4 linked regions of the Callithrix jacchus genome follow. The protein of the gene in region 3 purifies or fractionates together with the protein of the main gene of each other region. This does not show direct contact. Links are inferred from orthologs where the notes say so. Each region holds a gene or a part of one and is shown on either strand. Other genes may lie near its edges. The genes, in order: DNM1, DNM3, SNX9 and SYNJ1.

Region 1 (3,154 bases), on a different chromosome or scaffold from region 3:
CCCCACTGCCTACAGCATTGAGCCCCAACAAGTCGAACTCTTCAGACTTTGAAGGTTCTCCACCCTATGCCCCACCATCCCCACAGAGCTCTTCCTCATTCTGTCTCTGTTCTCTGCTTTGGCCAGTGGCTATCCTCGATGCAGCCCACACTACATATCTGCCCACGCTGCAGCTCTTTACCCAGATACTCTCCTGATTCCTTGCCACATAAGCCTATCTCAGTCATGCCTTGGACTGCACTGAAGTCACGTTGCCTTGAAGAAGCTCTCCCAGACTACTCTTTTCCCCAAGGCAGGTCCATGATTTGCCAAATGTTTTGCATGTGTTAGCAAGACTGGAGTCAGAGCAGGCATCAAACCTTACATCCCATATGGCACACCACACCACAGACCTGAGTACCAAATACCCTGAACAGTCTGAACTCACGTTGGCAGTTAGCAAAGTGCTCCTACGGTCGCATCTACAGTTAACACAGGATCCCTATAGCCACTGTCTCCCTTGATCCCCACAACCACCCAGGTAGAAAGGCAGAAGGTCATCTTTTGATAGAAGGGATGCTGAGGCTCTGGGAGGGAAAGGGACTTGCCTAAAGCCCCATGGTGAAGTAGCATCTCTGGACTCCCAGTCCAATGCTCTTACCCAATATCATGCTGCTTGCCTCTACCCATCTGCTTTGGTCATCAGAGCATCATAGGGCAAGCCCCAATCCCTACCTCATTTTCGTTTATGGGTGCTAGACCCACAGCCCTACCCTCCAGCCATGTGGAAACAAAAACAGATGCTATGGTTCTGGTGTGTTATTCCTTAGAGAACCTGGCCAGTGGAAACAGAGCAGACTGGGAATCCAAGTGAACTTCCCTAAAAGAGGGTCATGGGTCAAGAAGGTCAAGCCAAAGGATGTAGTAGAAAGCTTTTCCCTAGAAATCTCTGGGAATGAAGCAGGCTTCAGTCACTCCCATCCCTGCCCCTGCTGCCACCCCTGCACATTGGTTTAGACTGGGTAGTGTCAGAAGCTGTGGGGGGTGAGGGGGGGAGCCATCAGATTGCCCATGGCACTAGGCTCCTTCCCCACCTGCTCGTGTCCTAGCCCAGGCCTGGGTGCCATTCTTACACTCTCACACTCGTGTGCACGCCCACACACACATCACACACCTTGCTAGTCACACAGTCACAGCCTGGCCTCTGCTCCTGTGGGCCAGTGGCAGGACACCCCCTGGGATGGCTCAAAGGAGTCAGGACTGGGAAGTGGGGACATCAGGGTAGCTGAAGGAAATCCACACACCCAGAGCAGATCGGGGTTTAGACTCAGACCTGAGGTAGGCTCCCCAGGGGTTGGGAGAGGAATTGGACGGAATGGAGGATGGAGGACAGCGAGAAGAAAGGAGGAGGAATGCAACGTGTGGGCGGCCGCCAAGAGTGAAAATAGAGGGAAGCGCCATGCAAGTGCTAGAAAGAAGGGGGCAGGTGGGACGAGCCCCACAGCCCGTCCCCAGAAACGACCACCTCCGGGACTCAGCGCTCCCTCGGGGGCAGGCTCCAGCCCTCGGCCACTCGTGGCGTGGCTCCGGCACCCAGAGTCTGATTGCCTGGGATGGAAACGCCGGTTCTGGCGGCCAGGTCCGATGCTCTGGAATCCAGCCCCATTTCCCTCCCGGTCACGCCCGTCCGCGGCCTCTGCCGCCGCATTCAGGCCCTACTCACCTGGGGACCCCGGGCGGGGCGCGGTTGGGGCGCGAGGGCACCTGAGGGGGAGGGCCGAAGGGATCAGGGGAAGCCCCCGGCCTGGAGGGCACGGGGGGCGCCCCCCCCAGGGCGGACCCAGCAGGCGGAGGCCCAGGAGCAGGGCCCCGCGACCCGGGCCGGGCTGGGGGCACGGCGGGGGCTCGGCGCTGCGGCGTGGGGCTGGACGTGGGCGACCTGAGGGCGACAGGGAGCAAGGAACAAGGAGAGGCCAGATGAGCGGCTCCGCCCACCCAGAGGCCCCGCCCCAGCCCAGTGCAGGCCACGCCCATGCACGCAAGCCCCTCCCTGCCGCGCCCCGAGGCGGTCGCCGGAGCTTAAGCCCCGCCCCCAGCGGCGCCACGTCCCAGCTCCCCCCGCCCCGCAGCCAGCGCTCCACGGCAAGCCCCGCCCTGCAGCAAGCCCCGCCCTCTCTAAGCTCCGCCCCTCGCTCCAGGTGGGAGCCACCCCGGTGACGCGGGCGCGCCACTGCCCGGTCCCGGCACTCCTCCCGCGGGCCCCGGGCTGGGGGGCTTTGGGGCCGTGGGGGCCGGCCCTGGTACCTGCGTCCGGCCGGTACGCTCTGCACCTGCAGCCAGGAGTCGTCCACGGGCGGGGGCATAGGCGTGCTGACGGTGGTCGTATTGATGTCGCCGATGATGCTGAGCGCCTCCTTCAGCGCGTGGTACATGCGCAGCATCTCATCGCGCCTCTGTGCCTGCTCCGCCGACTCCTCCATCAGCGTGTTCTGGTCCCCACATGAGTACAGGTTGGCCAGAAGCTCCGAGAAGATGAACTCCTTGGTCTGCGAGTGGGCAAAGAGGGAAGGAAGGTGGGACCTCCCCATCCCTTGTGCCGCCCTGGCCGCCTCACCGGGCCCTGCTGGGACTGTGCGCTGGACTTGAAGCCCAGAGTATGGCTTTTCAGACGCGGCTCCAACACTGCTTAGACTGGAAGTTCCGCCTTCCCACTGCGCTTTTCTCATTGAGATGGGGACACTGAGGTCCAGAGGAAAAGTCATCTGACCTAGGTCACAGATCTGGGAGGGGACTTAGGACCTATCATGCCACCAGAACACTTGTCTACTCAGTTTTGTTTTTTCCTTTGAGATAGGGTCTCCCTCTGTCTCCAGGCTGGAGTACAGTGTCAACATTACCACTTACTAGCTTCAACTTCCTGGGCTCAAAGTGATCTTCCAATGTCAGCCTCTCCAGTAGCTAGGACTACAAGCACGTGCTACTACCAAGTTTATGTAGAGACAAGGTCTCACTGTGTTGCCCAGAATAGTCTTGAACTCCTGGGCTCAAGTGATCCTTCAGCCTCAGCCTCCCAAAGTGCTGGGATTACAGGCATGAGCCACCATGCCCAGCACTTCATTACATTTCTTTTTCTTTCTTTCTTTCTTTTTTTTTTTTTTTGAGATGGAGTCTTGCT
Region 2 (4,132 bases), on a different chromosome or scaffold from region 3:
AATAACTGCACATTAGATCAGAGGCTTAAAATGAAAACAGTTCCATGTAAAAGAGGAAAGTGCATCCTTAGGAAAGAACCTTATCTTTTTTGCAAAATTCCTAGATAAGAACAAGAAAACACTAAGATGTTATATTGGAAAATGGATACAATTTTTTCAGTTTGGCCGAATATCTTACCAAAATAGAAAACTCCATTTTCCCTAAAGGTTGGTTTATAATTGGAAATTGGATTCCTTAATGATTCAATGACCGAATATTTTATTAAACTCAATGACCTTTCTAAATAAATTTTCTCCTTAATATATAAGCTCTGCTAGGCAGGTGTCATCTCTACATATAATACAGACTTTACATATGGCTTAAATGACCTTTTTCCTCTATGTTCATCCTTTGATTTGACATCCTAGCAGTTAATTAGTGGTACAACTTTTTAATGTACAACAAATTACTAATGTATTCTCGTGTCTGATTTTTATCCTTATAATGTCCCTATTTGTTATTCCATCTTGAAAAATATCCAAGCTTGAATATTCTACTCTTCCATATTTCTGTTTTCAAATTATCATTTCAAAAGAACATAGCTAGTAAGGGGAAATGTGTACGATTTTATTATAACATTAGGAAAAATGTTAGAATTTCAAAACCTAGAAAATAGAATTATGATATGTGCATACAACTGGCATTAAAAGCTCTGACCACAAACAATGCATTTACATATAATATAGGCTCATCCAAGTAAATATATGGAAGATGTATAAAAATATGGTAATTTCATTTGAAATACCTACAATTTTAATCTTTAAGTATTTTGTTTAAGAAAACAAAAAATTCAATAACTTTTAAAGTGTCATGACAAAATGCCCTGGCATTTGGAAAACCAAAAATATATTATCAAAACTCACTCTTTGGATGCCCCTTTAAATCTAGTAAATTTCATTGGCAACAAAGAAAGTAACTGTTATGTTTGAAATAACACATTTATCCATCACTTCACCACAAGTCTAAGATGACATAGGCAAAATGCTTTACCTTCACTTTGCTCATTAATCAAAAAAATGATAAAAATGAGGTTTAGTGATTAAGTGAATTACTCAAGGATACAAGCCAATTGTCAGTAATTTTACTTTATTAGGTTGCTTATCTTTCTAGTTCATACAGGAAAAATAGTATCACCTGAGAGATGGAACACCATTTGAGAGAAAAGAATATGTACTTTATGAACACTAACATTTCCAAAGGAAATGTGGGAATATCCAGCTCTAAATTTTACACATCACCAAGCACTAACAAAAAAAAGAAAAAAGGAACAGGAACAGGAACCTTCTGCATTCCAAGTCACAAATGAGCCAAATAAAAAGAATAAAGTACAATCTCGCCAGCAATTTTTCTTGGCTACTGTACATTTCTACCTGATTTTCTACTACCAGGAAACAAATTTCACCTTTCATAACCCTTTCAAATGGGCTTTTCTGAGCAAATGTCTGCACTCTTCAGGCAAGGCCATTAAGGTAACTTAATCCCTCATGAATTGCTCAGTGGAAGAAATGCTGATTCCCAATTCAAAATTTAATTCCTTCGCTGTTTCTGTATCAAAAGTCATGAGGAAAACCACAGCTACAATTTAGATTCAGAATATTATCTCGAAGGCTAGCAAGACAAATAAGAGCTTAGAGAACGGAAAATGATGCTGGGGGAGGGGGCGCGGAGAGAGTGCGAGAAAGATGCTGGTCAGTTCCGAGATGATGCAGGAATGACATGGCACCTGGACAACACAAGTCCACGTCCACCCCCTGCCAAGTCTGTGCCTCGGGCTCTCTCGCAGTTGCCTGGAGCTGTGAATAGGTGCACACGCAAAAACACCACCTTTTATTCTTCGACTCTCGGGGAGGAGAATGGTGGGGAAGCGTCTGTGGAAAAAGCTTCACCACAACAAACGACGTCTTTCTCCTCGCACCCCGCCTCCCCAGCTAGGGGCAGGCGAAGACCGTCTAGAACAGTAGACAGCTGAGAGGAACAAGAGCCCAGGGGAGAAGGAAAGCATCTCCACCTAGGGGAGGGGGCTCGGGGGATAAAGCCCCACAGCCTCACAGCAAGCCTCGCGGAGGGCGGCAGGGAAAGGAGGGGAGTGTTGAGCCGGGAAAACAGGAGAGGGGACTGGGAAGCGTTGGCACGCTACGCAGGCAGGCTGCCCGGGGCTGGCGCGCACCGAGGGGATGGGGGTCCATCTCGGGGCGGACCCCTCCCCCGACTCCTAAACTGGAGGACCCGGAGGAAATGGCTTTGTATAGCAGGATGAAAGGCAGGCAGGAGGGCCACCAGCCGAGGGAAGGGGGGCGGGGTGGTAGGGGAAGGAGGATGCCCGGAGCTGGAGGACCCCGCCCGCCCCACGGACACCGTCACTCTGCCTCTCATTCCACCGCAGCCCCTGGTCCACCCTCTGGCTCCCGCTTCCAGTCCACTTTCCAACGGCCCGGAGCGGGGTCGCCCCCCGCCGCACCCCTATTCCGCGCCCTGCACGCTCACCTGCCCACGAAGTTCTCGAGCACGGAGCTCTTGCCGGCGCTCTGACCGCCCACCACAGCGATCTGCGGCAGCTCCAGCAGGCAGCTCTGTCCCAGGGCCGAAAAGGCGTCCTGCAGACGGTTCACCAGTGGGATCAGCTCCTCCATCTCCCGGTTCCCCATCTTGCCCGAGCGGCCGGCGGCCAGCTGGTCCCTGCTTGCCTCTACGACCTGGCCGGGAGTCGGGGCCGCGCTGCCCTGACTGCGGCTGGTGCGCCGAGCTCAGCTCGCCGGGTCCTGGCGCAGACGTCGGAGCCCGCCGCCAGCCCGCCGCTCGGCTCTGACAGCTAACGGCCCGCAGCGCGCCTGCGCGGGCGTCCAGGGGCGTGGCCTGGCTCCACGACGCCCCGCCCCGTGGCTGCCCCGCCCCGGGTTTCCCAGCCCACCACCCGCCCCGCGCGCACGGCCTCCCAGCTGCCGCCAGAAGACACCGCCTCTGCCTTCTGTGGCCAAGGCTCAGAGGCCAAGTTACAGCGCCGGGTCAAGGAATGGCATGAAGTCAGCAGCAGCCGGCAACGTTGTTCTCTTTCAGCGGCTACCAAGCCAAAGCCCAGCGGCTACCAAGTCAAAGTACTATCGCGGCTAACAACACAACACGGTCACAGCAAGAGCAGCACCGCCGCCACAACCACCGGGGCACCGCTGCCAGGGTACACTTCCCAAAAGGAAATCTCCTCAGTCACGCCCTTCTCCAGAACCCGCTAGGACTCCTCCCAGGGTAGCAGGCCTGTTGGAGTCTAAATTCTTCAATCTGACATCTAAGACCCTGAGTGGTCTGACCTTACCTAATTCTTCATCTGTAATGACTCGTCCCCCCGAGCCCCACATAAGCACAGGTAATGTCTGTAGGGTCTACCTGCCCCAGACACCCCTTCAGTCACTCTGGCCTGTGAGACTCTTCATGCCATTTGCCCTCCTGGTCTATCTCCTTCTACAGGGTCTATCCAGAACCAGATATTCTGGATGCATTCTATGAAATTTAGCATATTGAGAAGCGACTGTGTGTGAGGTCCTGTGCCTGATGATGGCGACACAAAGATCACTGGCCATGCTTCTCTTAGCCTCCACAGAGCGTTCCGTTTTAGTCTGCTCCTCAAATACTGGTGCTTCTCAGGGTTTAATATCTGGGCATTTTCTTGTCTCATGTTTATGCTTTGCCTGAGGACTTCCCACAGCTTTAACTCTGCGTAAAGGCTGGCGACTACAGAAATTTACATTGCTAGACCCTGTCTCTCTTCTGCAACTTAGACTATACTCCAAGAGGGACCCAGACCACTACCTGAGTGTCCTTCAAGTACCACAGACTGAATGTATTCAAAACTGAAGTCATCTTTTGTCATCTCAACATTTAATGTACAGTTCCTTCTAATTCTAAAAAGACTTGTATTAAAATGTTCATAATAACAAAAAAACCTGAAAACGACCAAAATGTCTCTCAACAGGTGAATGAATAAACAAATGTGGTATGTGTATACAGTGAACTATTCTCCACACCAAAATAGAGTAGACTTCTGATATAGCAACAACGTGGTTCAATCTCAGATACATTATGTAGAATGAAAAAGGCCAA
Region 3 (3,566 bases):
TGCTCACCTTTTACATTCAGTTATTTGAAGTTGTACAAAGCTTCGTATTTATCAATTCGATAACCTCAAACACAAGTTCAAAACCAAATTCCCCATTTCAAACCCTTCAAAACCCAAAACTTCAATCAGGTTTCCTTGTTTTTGCTGCCATGGCCTTGGCTCTGGACACTCCCTCGTCCTTCTCTTTCTCCCATGAATGCCCCAGTCTTGAAAGCTGTTCCTTGAAGAGCCTGCGAATGTGCTTCATTCTCTTCTCCCCAGGACCACACCTGTAGGTCCTCAAAGCTCAGGCTACACTAGCGATGGTCTTCTGGCCAGGCTCCGGGACAGTGTCTGCACCTCCAATCCCCCTCCACACCTATCAAATCCTTCTCCCTTGAGGATTGATTTTTTTCTCTCACTTAAAAACCTTTTAATGGCTTCTTAACACCCACATCAAGTCTAGAGCTTTCAAGTTCTTTCACAATCCAAATTTCATTCCCAATAACCTCTAAGTATGTTTTACTCTTTCACACCCATGACACAATCTAGCACCACAATTTTGTGGCTTTTGTTCCCACCAGAACACCCTCTCCATTCTCCTCTGCCCACGTCAGTGCCATCCACCCGTCCACCAACAGGAAAAATCTATTTGCTGCTCTCATCTGCTCAAAAACACTCAAACCTATACACATTAATGTCTTTTTTAAAAAAAAAAAAAAAAAACACACAAAAAACCTGCCTAAAATGACACATCCAAACCCCTTCACATTCCACGATCCCAAGGCATGCAGGTGACAGACTGCTAAAAGCTGAGCACTGGCATTTAATAGAGCATGATGACATCACAGATTACAAAAGGAATCTTCCATGTGTCTGAGAAATAAAAAAATGTGCAGTTTTAATCAAGCTGTCATCCATAGCTACATAAGGTAGACAGGTGAAAATCTGAATAAATATCACAGATTTTCATCAACACCGGGATCCTGCAAACAAGGGGCTTCTTTAACTACTGCTCACATTTGGATTTCTCTCTAGCAAGGGAAGCTTTGCTGGGGGAGATGAACTCCACCAGCACCTCATAAGGACCCTTTGATCTCACCTTGCAGCGCGTAGGACATGGTGCTGACTCTCTTCACCATGTTCTGTTTGTCTTGTGGGGTGATTTTACTTGTTGCAACTAGTTTGTCACTTTCTTTCACTTTTTCTATTGCTCCCTGAGAAATATAAAATGCAACAGTATTAATAAAGCTAAAATGATGAGTCATTAGTTTAAAATATAACAATGCTAATATAGTCTATAACTGATTTACTACTGAACAGGAAATATTTCCACAAAATAAGAAGAAAGGAAAGCATCTGAATTTAACTTCCTTCAAGTCCCTTGGAAGCAAAACGGTTGCTATTCTTGAAAAATGTAACTAAGCTAAAATGAAAAGTTTTAAGCTACAACAAAAGAGAAGAGCAAACAGCACACCATCTCTGTAATATTGAGAAGCCGGTGCCATCTGAAGAGTAGCACATCATGGCAATCAGGCATTAGCAAGTTTCGAAAGTCATCTGGCTAGGTACAGAGTAGTGTGTGCACGCAGGCAGTCTCCATCTCTTCTTTTATCCAACAGAATATTTTATGAGCTAGTGCTTAAGTGCGCTGATTGTAAGTCAGGGCTTTACTTCGATTCTTGTAAGAGGCACTGCATCAATGTGAAGACTTAGATGGAAGTGGTGGGAAACACTGCCAAACATTTCCCACTCCAATATCATCATGCTGCTCGTTACTTAGGACTGTCTGGAAAGAAAAGCTCTATACTCATGCATACATTAGGTTCCAGGCCTACAACTCTGATGCTGCTGGCATACATTTCTACAACAAGCTCACTGTTCTGAGTTTTATATTAAGTTATCTGAAGTTGTACAAACCTAATTTACCTACGCAACCCTTTCATGATTATTTCAGTTATAAAACAGAATGCTAAAATGGCCACACGCCACGACTGTTAAGATCACAGCCCAATCCTTGGCAGAGATATTCCTAACAACTCCAAGTACACAGCAATATACTAGACTACTATGGTTGACATAAAATACTCACAACTCATGCCTGAGGTGATGTACAGATTTTTAAAAAGGGAGAGAAAACCAGAATTAATAAGTGAAGACACTCCAAACCAATTTTAAAAGTCAGTTACAAAACCTGAATTATCTATTGTTTCCTTTTTAATAATAAAGCTATAAGACCTATACTGACGACTGCACACACATGCCTGCTTCGTCTGGTGGTGTATTCTTTAAGTGTCTAGATCAGGTTACCTTGTGAGTGCCAATGATGTCAGGGAAGCAGCCAAGAAAACCTTTATACTCGTGATTACATTCCATCAGGAAATGGAGATCTTTCTTTGGCTATAACAAGATACAAGCTGGTTGTTACTGGCAGAGAAATTCAGAAAATCCAGGAAAAGGTAACTATTATATCCAAAGACTACAAATCCTGCATGTGCTACACTAAACTGCTGAGTGTGAAGCATTCACGTTACTTTTTCTAAAAGGAAATAACTCCAAAGACTGCCATACTTTGAATCACATGTTGTAAAGAAAACGACAAAACATATAATTTTTAAGTTGGTTTGTAAAAGTATTTTGACATGGCCCAAAATATACCACCACAAAGGAAAAAAATTCATCTAATACTGTATGTTTATATACAAGCAAATGAGCTGCTGAAGTTGAACTTCTAAATATGAGCAGAGAATATAAAAATATTATTAAAACACCTAGTAATCATTTTAACTTCTTCCATTTTTTTCTGAATTATGATTTTAGTAGCTATGTTACTCACATTTCTACAATGAATGCTTTTTTAGAAGTATCAGAAAGTAGCCCATAACCACATTAGTGGGTGTACACATCTGTGTATCCACAAACATAGTTTTAAGTCATCTGAAAAAAACGTTTTTTAAGTAAGGGATTGGAAAATTAACTTTGATTCTTCTTAAGGGAACTTATCTGTTATTTAAAAACAAAAACAAAACCCTGAAATTGGGCTACTAAAGACTCCAACAAAAGCTTGTGGCTAGGATAAGGACCTGCCCTGTCCTGGGGACTGTAGCCAGTGCTTTTTATTTATGAGCTCTTAAATTTTGAGAACCATACAGGGTAGACACTACCACTGCAGATGAACAGATGAGGAAACCATGGCTCAGAGAGGCTAAGCAACGGTCCATACAGACCGGAGCCAGCGTTCTTTCCTGTTTATTAGAATCCACTGAAGGCTAAGAACGGATCGCAGGAATCAATACTGGATTGCGTTCATTTATATTTCTTTTTCTTTTGAGATAGAGTCACACTCTGTCACCCAGGCTGGAGTGCAGTGGTATGATCACAGCTCACTGTAGCCTTGACTTCCCGGGCCCAAGTGATCTTCCTACCTCAGCCTCCCGAGTAGCTGGAATCACAGGTGTACACCACTACACCTGGCTAATTTTTAGGGGTTCCCTGTGCTGCCCAGGCTGGTCTCAAACTCCTGGACTCAAGTGATTCACCTGCCTTGGCCTCCCAAACTGCCAGATTACAGGTGTGAGCCACTGTGC
Region 4 (3,566 bases), on a different chromosome or scaffold from region 3:
CCCACAAAGGATGGAGCACAGTGGGCTGAGTGAGCAGAGTCCACCCCCACTAGCACCCACGTACACCTTCCCACCTGTGAAGCGGTCAAGACCACTTGTTTGACATTTGATTAAACTAACTACAAAAACATGAATAAGGGAATTCTGCCCAATCTTTGTGTTATAGGAGACATTTAGAACTGGAAATGGGATTTTGGAAACATCTAGCCTGATATCCTGTTCTCAAATAAGGAGCTGAGGCCTGAAAAGGTAACGTGGTGCCCAAAGTGTTAGAATTCAAGTCTGGTGGTCACCAGACACCATACTAGATGGCCACTGATCCTTTTACCTAAAAAAAAAAAAATTTAATGAATTCTTCCCAAATTTTGTGGTCGTAAGTTTTAAGAAGTGTTTCAAAAGTCAGATGACATAAGAAACAAAAGAAAAAAGAGTCAATGACTATAGGACTTAACCCAAAAAACAGCCCTAAAGACTAAGATTCTAAACTATTACCAAGGAAAAAAAAAGTTTATCCTTCTATTAGAAAATGAATCTTATAGATACATAATATATTTTTCTTTCTGGGAATTATTATGGGTTTTCTCTTTCCTATTTTTATTACTTTAAGGAAAGATAATTCTATTATCTATTTACCTGCAGATATATAAGTATAAAAAGACCCCAAGAAAATTTTAAAACATCTTGATTAAAAAAGTCATGTTTCATGACCCAAAATCTTCTTAATACAAGTATTTTCTCAAGTATGAATATACCTGTCCGGCATTTTTCTGATTGATAAGTTGATCTCCTGCTATAAGAGAATCCCAGTTTTGCTGTCTTATGAGCTCTTTAACTTCTTCGTTAGGCAGATCGATTCGATAGTTGAAATCACCACACCAAAATACATAGTCATGGGAAAACAGCATTCTTCCCTGAAAGCAATGAGACAGAATTTTAAATTCAAAACAATCAACGTTCAAAATGTTTTAGAACTATTTCTTTGCCTCAGATATGCCTGTTTCCTCCCATGTTCTGTTTCTTTAACCCAACAGTAATAATACACATGAAAGGAAAATAAACCTCAGGACCTCAAAATCACTAAGCCCAGAGAAAAATGAAGCTGGGAACTATGGCAGGCAAACCTGCCTCTCATTTTATTCACAGGTCCAAAGATAAGAAGCTACGTAATTCTGTCACAATTTGCCCAAAGAAATTCCCTGTGGACAAAGGATAGACAGAACTCAAAGACATCCCTCTCAGACTCACCTGAGACAAATGCACATCTGACTGCTTCCTCTAGCCTACTGTTTATGTAAAAACGCAGATTCACTGACCCAGACTAAATTGTGTATTCAGTGGAAGGCTGATCTAGGACTTCTAAATGTTTCTAGGAACTATCTTAAATTTTCAAAAACACTGATGTAGAATTTGGGGCAAATTAAAATACATTTCAAAGCTTTATCTTCAAGAACAAGCAGCAAAAGCTTACCATAGGAAAACTCAACTTTCGTGCTATTTCTACAAAATCTTCATTTCTTTCTTTGACTTGTGACTGCCCTGCAGCAAAGTGACTACAGACGAAGCAAAGGCTGGTTGTATGGAACAGCATTCGGATTGCAACTGCTCCCTTATTTCCAGTTGCACCTCCCATTCCAGTCTTCACAGTATCAACTGCAACATCCCTTTGAAATGAAGAATTCTAAATCACAGATTGAAATTTCAAGAATGCCACGTGCATAGGAAATCAGGAATATACATAATCATACAAGTAACACATAATATGCTACTGTGAGGGCAAGCCTATGAAAGAGTACAGTGAAGCTATTAGTGAGTCTTTAATCAAAACCCCCAAAACCATTTTAAAACAAGAACTATGGATAGTTTTTGTTTGAAGAACAGAAATAATAAATATTCTAGGCTTTTTTCTTGTTATTTAATGGTAGGAAGTAGCCTTAGGAGAGTGTTCTGTTTACTGACCTGATAAAAGGAGCATGCTGTGGTCTGATAAAAACAAACAAACAGACGCCCACCAACTGCTCAGAAGCCAGCAGCACATACTTGTTGTCTCTGGAGATTGTCTTCTGAAGTTCTACAGCCCAGAGCTTCTGATTTGTTGTGCTACAAGAAAATATTAAAAAGGGATTTTTAAAAAAGATAATGACAACAGCCTATTTTATGACAATTGTCAATCATACCTTTATCTACCCAAACTTCCTAAGACTCTGAAGGAAGCTTAGGCTGTTTTTGTTTCCTTTAAAAAAGAAAACTCACAATTTAGACAAAAGAAAACCACAATTCAAAATCTAATCTATTATTTCTTTATGAAGAAAATATAAAGACATTAAATGACTCCTCGCTGGGTGAGTAAACTCAAACTTATACATTTTACTTTTTCCTTAAGTATTCATTAAGATCACAGAGAAGTACAGTAGTATCTGTGGGGGGCTGGTTCCAGCTCCTGTGGATGCCAAAATCTAAGGATGCTCAAACCCCTTATATAAAATGGAGTAGTATTTGCAGATAATCCATGCACATCTCTCGTATATTTTAAATCATTTCTAGACTACCTGTAATACTTAATACAATGTAAATGCTAGGTAACTAGCTGTTATATTATATTGTTTAGGGATTAATGATACCAAAAAAAGGCTAAAAAAAAGACCAAAAAAAGCCTGCACATGTACAGACACAATTTTTAAACATATTTAATATTCTGATGAGTTGAACCCAAAGATGTGAAACCCATCGACATGGAGAGCCAACTATATGTGCTTCCAGATACATTTCCCTACTTTTATTTTTCTAAATTATAATGTCTTCTAAAAAAATTTTGCTATGGGAAATTAGAAAACATAATTATTAAATAAACCACCATATACCCATTTCAAAATTATCAATATTTTGCCAATCTATTTTCTTCCATCCCTCTTCACCTTTGTTTTTTTGGTAAACCTAGAATATTTTGGACCAAATCTAAGACTTATGCAATTTCACCTGCAAATACTTCTATATGTATCTCTAATGCAATGAGACATTTTTATTTTTACATATTCACAATACTATTATCACATTTAAACATTAATTCCTTAATATCATCTAGTAGTTTATAAGTAAAGTTCCCCATTTATCAAAAAAAATCTTCTAACGGTTGGTTTGTTTCTTTTAAAAGGGTCCAAACAAGGTCTACATATTGCATTTGCCTGTTATGTCTCCTAATCTCTTTTTTATTTTTTGAGATGGGATCTCACTCTGTCACCCAGGGCTGGAGTGCTGTGGCAGGATCTTGGTTCACTGCAACCTCTGCCTGGGTTCAAGCGATCCTCCCAACATCAGCCTCCCAAGTAGCTGAAATTCATTCCTTATCTTCTCAATGAACCTTATCCTGATTATTCATTTGAGACTGCCAACACTTCTCTGTGTCCCTAGAGTTGATCCTTTTCCTCTATTTTCCACTGCACTTTTCTAACCTGCTATATAGTTTACTTATTGTAGTTATCGTTCACTGTCTGTTTCTTCCCACTAGAATACGAAGTCCACGAAGATAGGGATTTTTGTCTGTTTTATTCATTGGAGGTACCTAGAGTGGT

The links.
Region 1: the proteins of SNX9 (region 3) and DNM1 purify together in Homo sapiens (co-immunoprecipitation; 6 studies listed by BioGRID and IntAct, counting the BioPlex papers as one, with this or other methods). This does not show direct contact. The link is inferred for Callithrix jacchus from reciprocal best matches to the Homo sapiens genes SNX9 and DNM1.
Region 2: the proteins of SNX9 (region 3) and DNM3 purify together in Homo sapiens (co-immunoprecipitation; 3 studies listed by BioGRID and IntAct, counting the BioPlex papers as one, with this or other methods). This does not show direct contact. The link is inferred for Callithrix jacchus from reciprocal best matches to the Homo sapiens genes SNX9 and DNM3.
Region 4: the proteins of SNX9 (region 3) and SYNJ1 purify together in Homo sapiens (co-immunoprecipitation; 3 studies listed by BioGRID and IntAct, counting the BioPlex papers as one, with this or other methods). This does not show direct contact. The link is inferred for Callithrix jacchus from reciprocal best matches to the Homo sapiens genes SNX9 and SYNJ1.

The regions. Positions count from the first base shown.
Region 1 is NC_133502.1:176,857,376-176,860,529, reverse strand, and holds part of DNM1 (dynamin-1), read right to left. Parts: intron 2,526-3,154; coding exon 2,284-2,525; intron 1,919-2,283; coding exon 1,703-1,918; intron 1-1,702. UniProt on the Homo sapiens protein: Catalyzes the hydrolysis of GTP and utilizes this energy to mediate vesicle scission and participates in many forms of endocytosis, such as clathrin-mediated endocytosis or synaptic vesicle endocytosis as well as rapid endocytosis (RE).
Region 2 is NC_133519.1:30,875,956-30,880,087, forward strand, and holds the start of DNM3 (dynamin-3), read right to left. Parts: upstream 2,845-4,132; 5' UTR 2,686-2,844; coding exon 2,525-2,685; intron 1-2,524. UniProt on the Homo sapiens protein: Microtubule-associated force-producing protein involved in producing microtubule bundles and able to bind and hydrolyze GTP. Most probably involved in vesicular trafficking processes, in particular endocytosis.
Region 3 is NC_133505.1:164,761,559-164,765,124, reverse strand, and holds part of SNX9 (sorting nexin-9), read right to left. Parts: intron 2,380-3,566; coding exon 2,290-2,379; intron 1,197-2,289; coding exon 1,082-1,196; intron 1-1,081. UniProt on the Homo sapiens protein: Involved in endocytosis and intracellular vesicle trafficking, both during interphase and at the end of mitosis. Required for efficient progress through mitosis and cytokinesis. Required for normal formation of the cleavage furrow at the end of mitosis.
Region 4 is NC_133522.1:38,737,773-38,741,338, forward strand, and holds part of SYNJ1 (synaptojanin-1), read right to left. Parts: intron 2,098-3,566; coding exon 1,957-2,097; intron 1,662-1,956; coding exon 1,469-1,661; intron 912-1,468; coding exon 753-911; intron 1-752. UniProt on the Homo sapiens protein: Phosphatase that acts on various phosphoinositides, including phosphatidylinositol 4-phosphate, phosphatidylinositol (4,5)-bisphosphate and phosphatidylinositol (3,4,5)-trisphosphate. Has a role in clathrin-mediated endocytosis.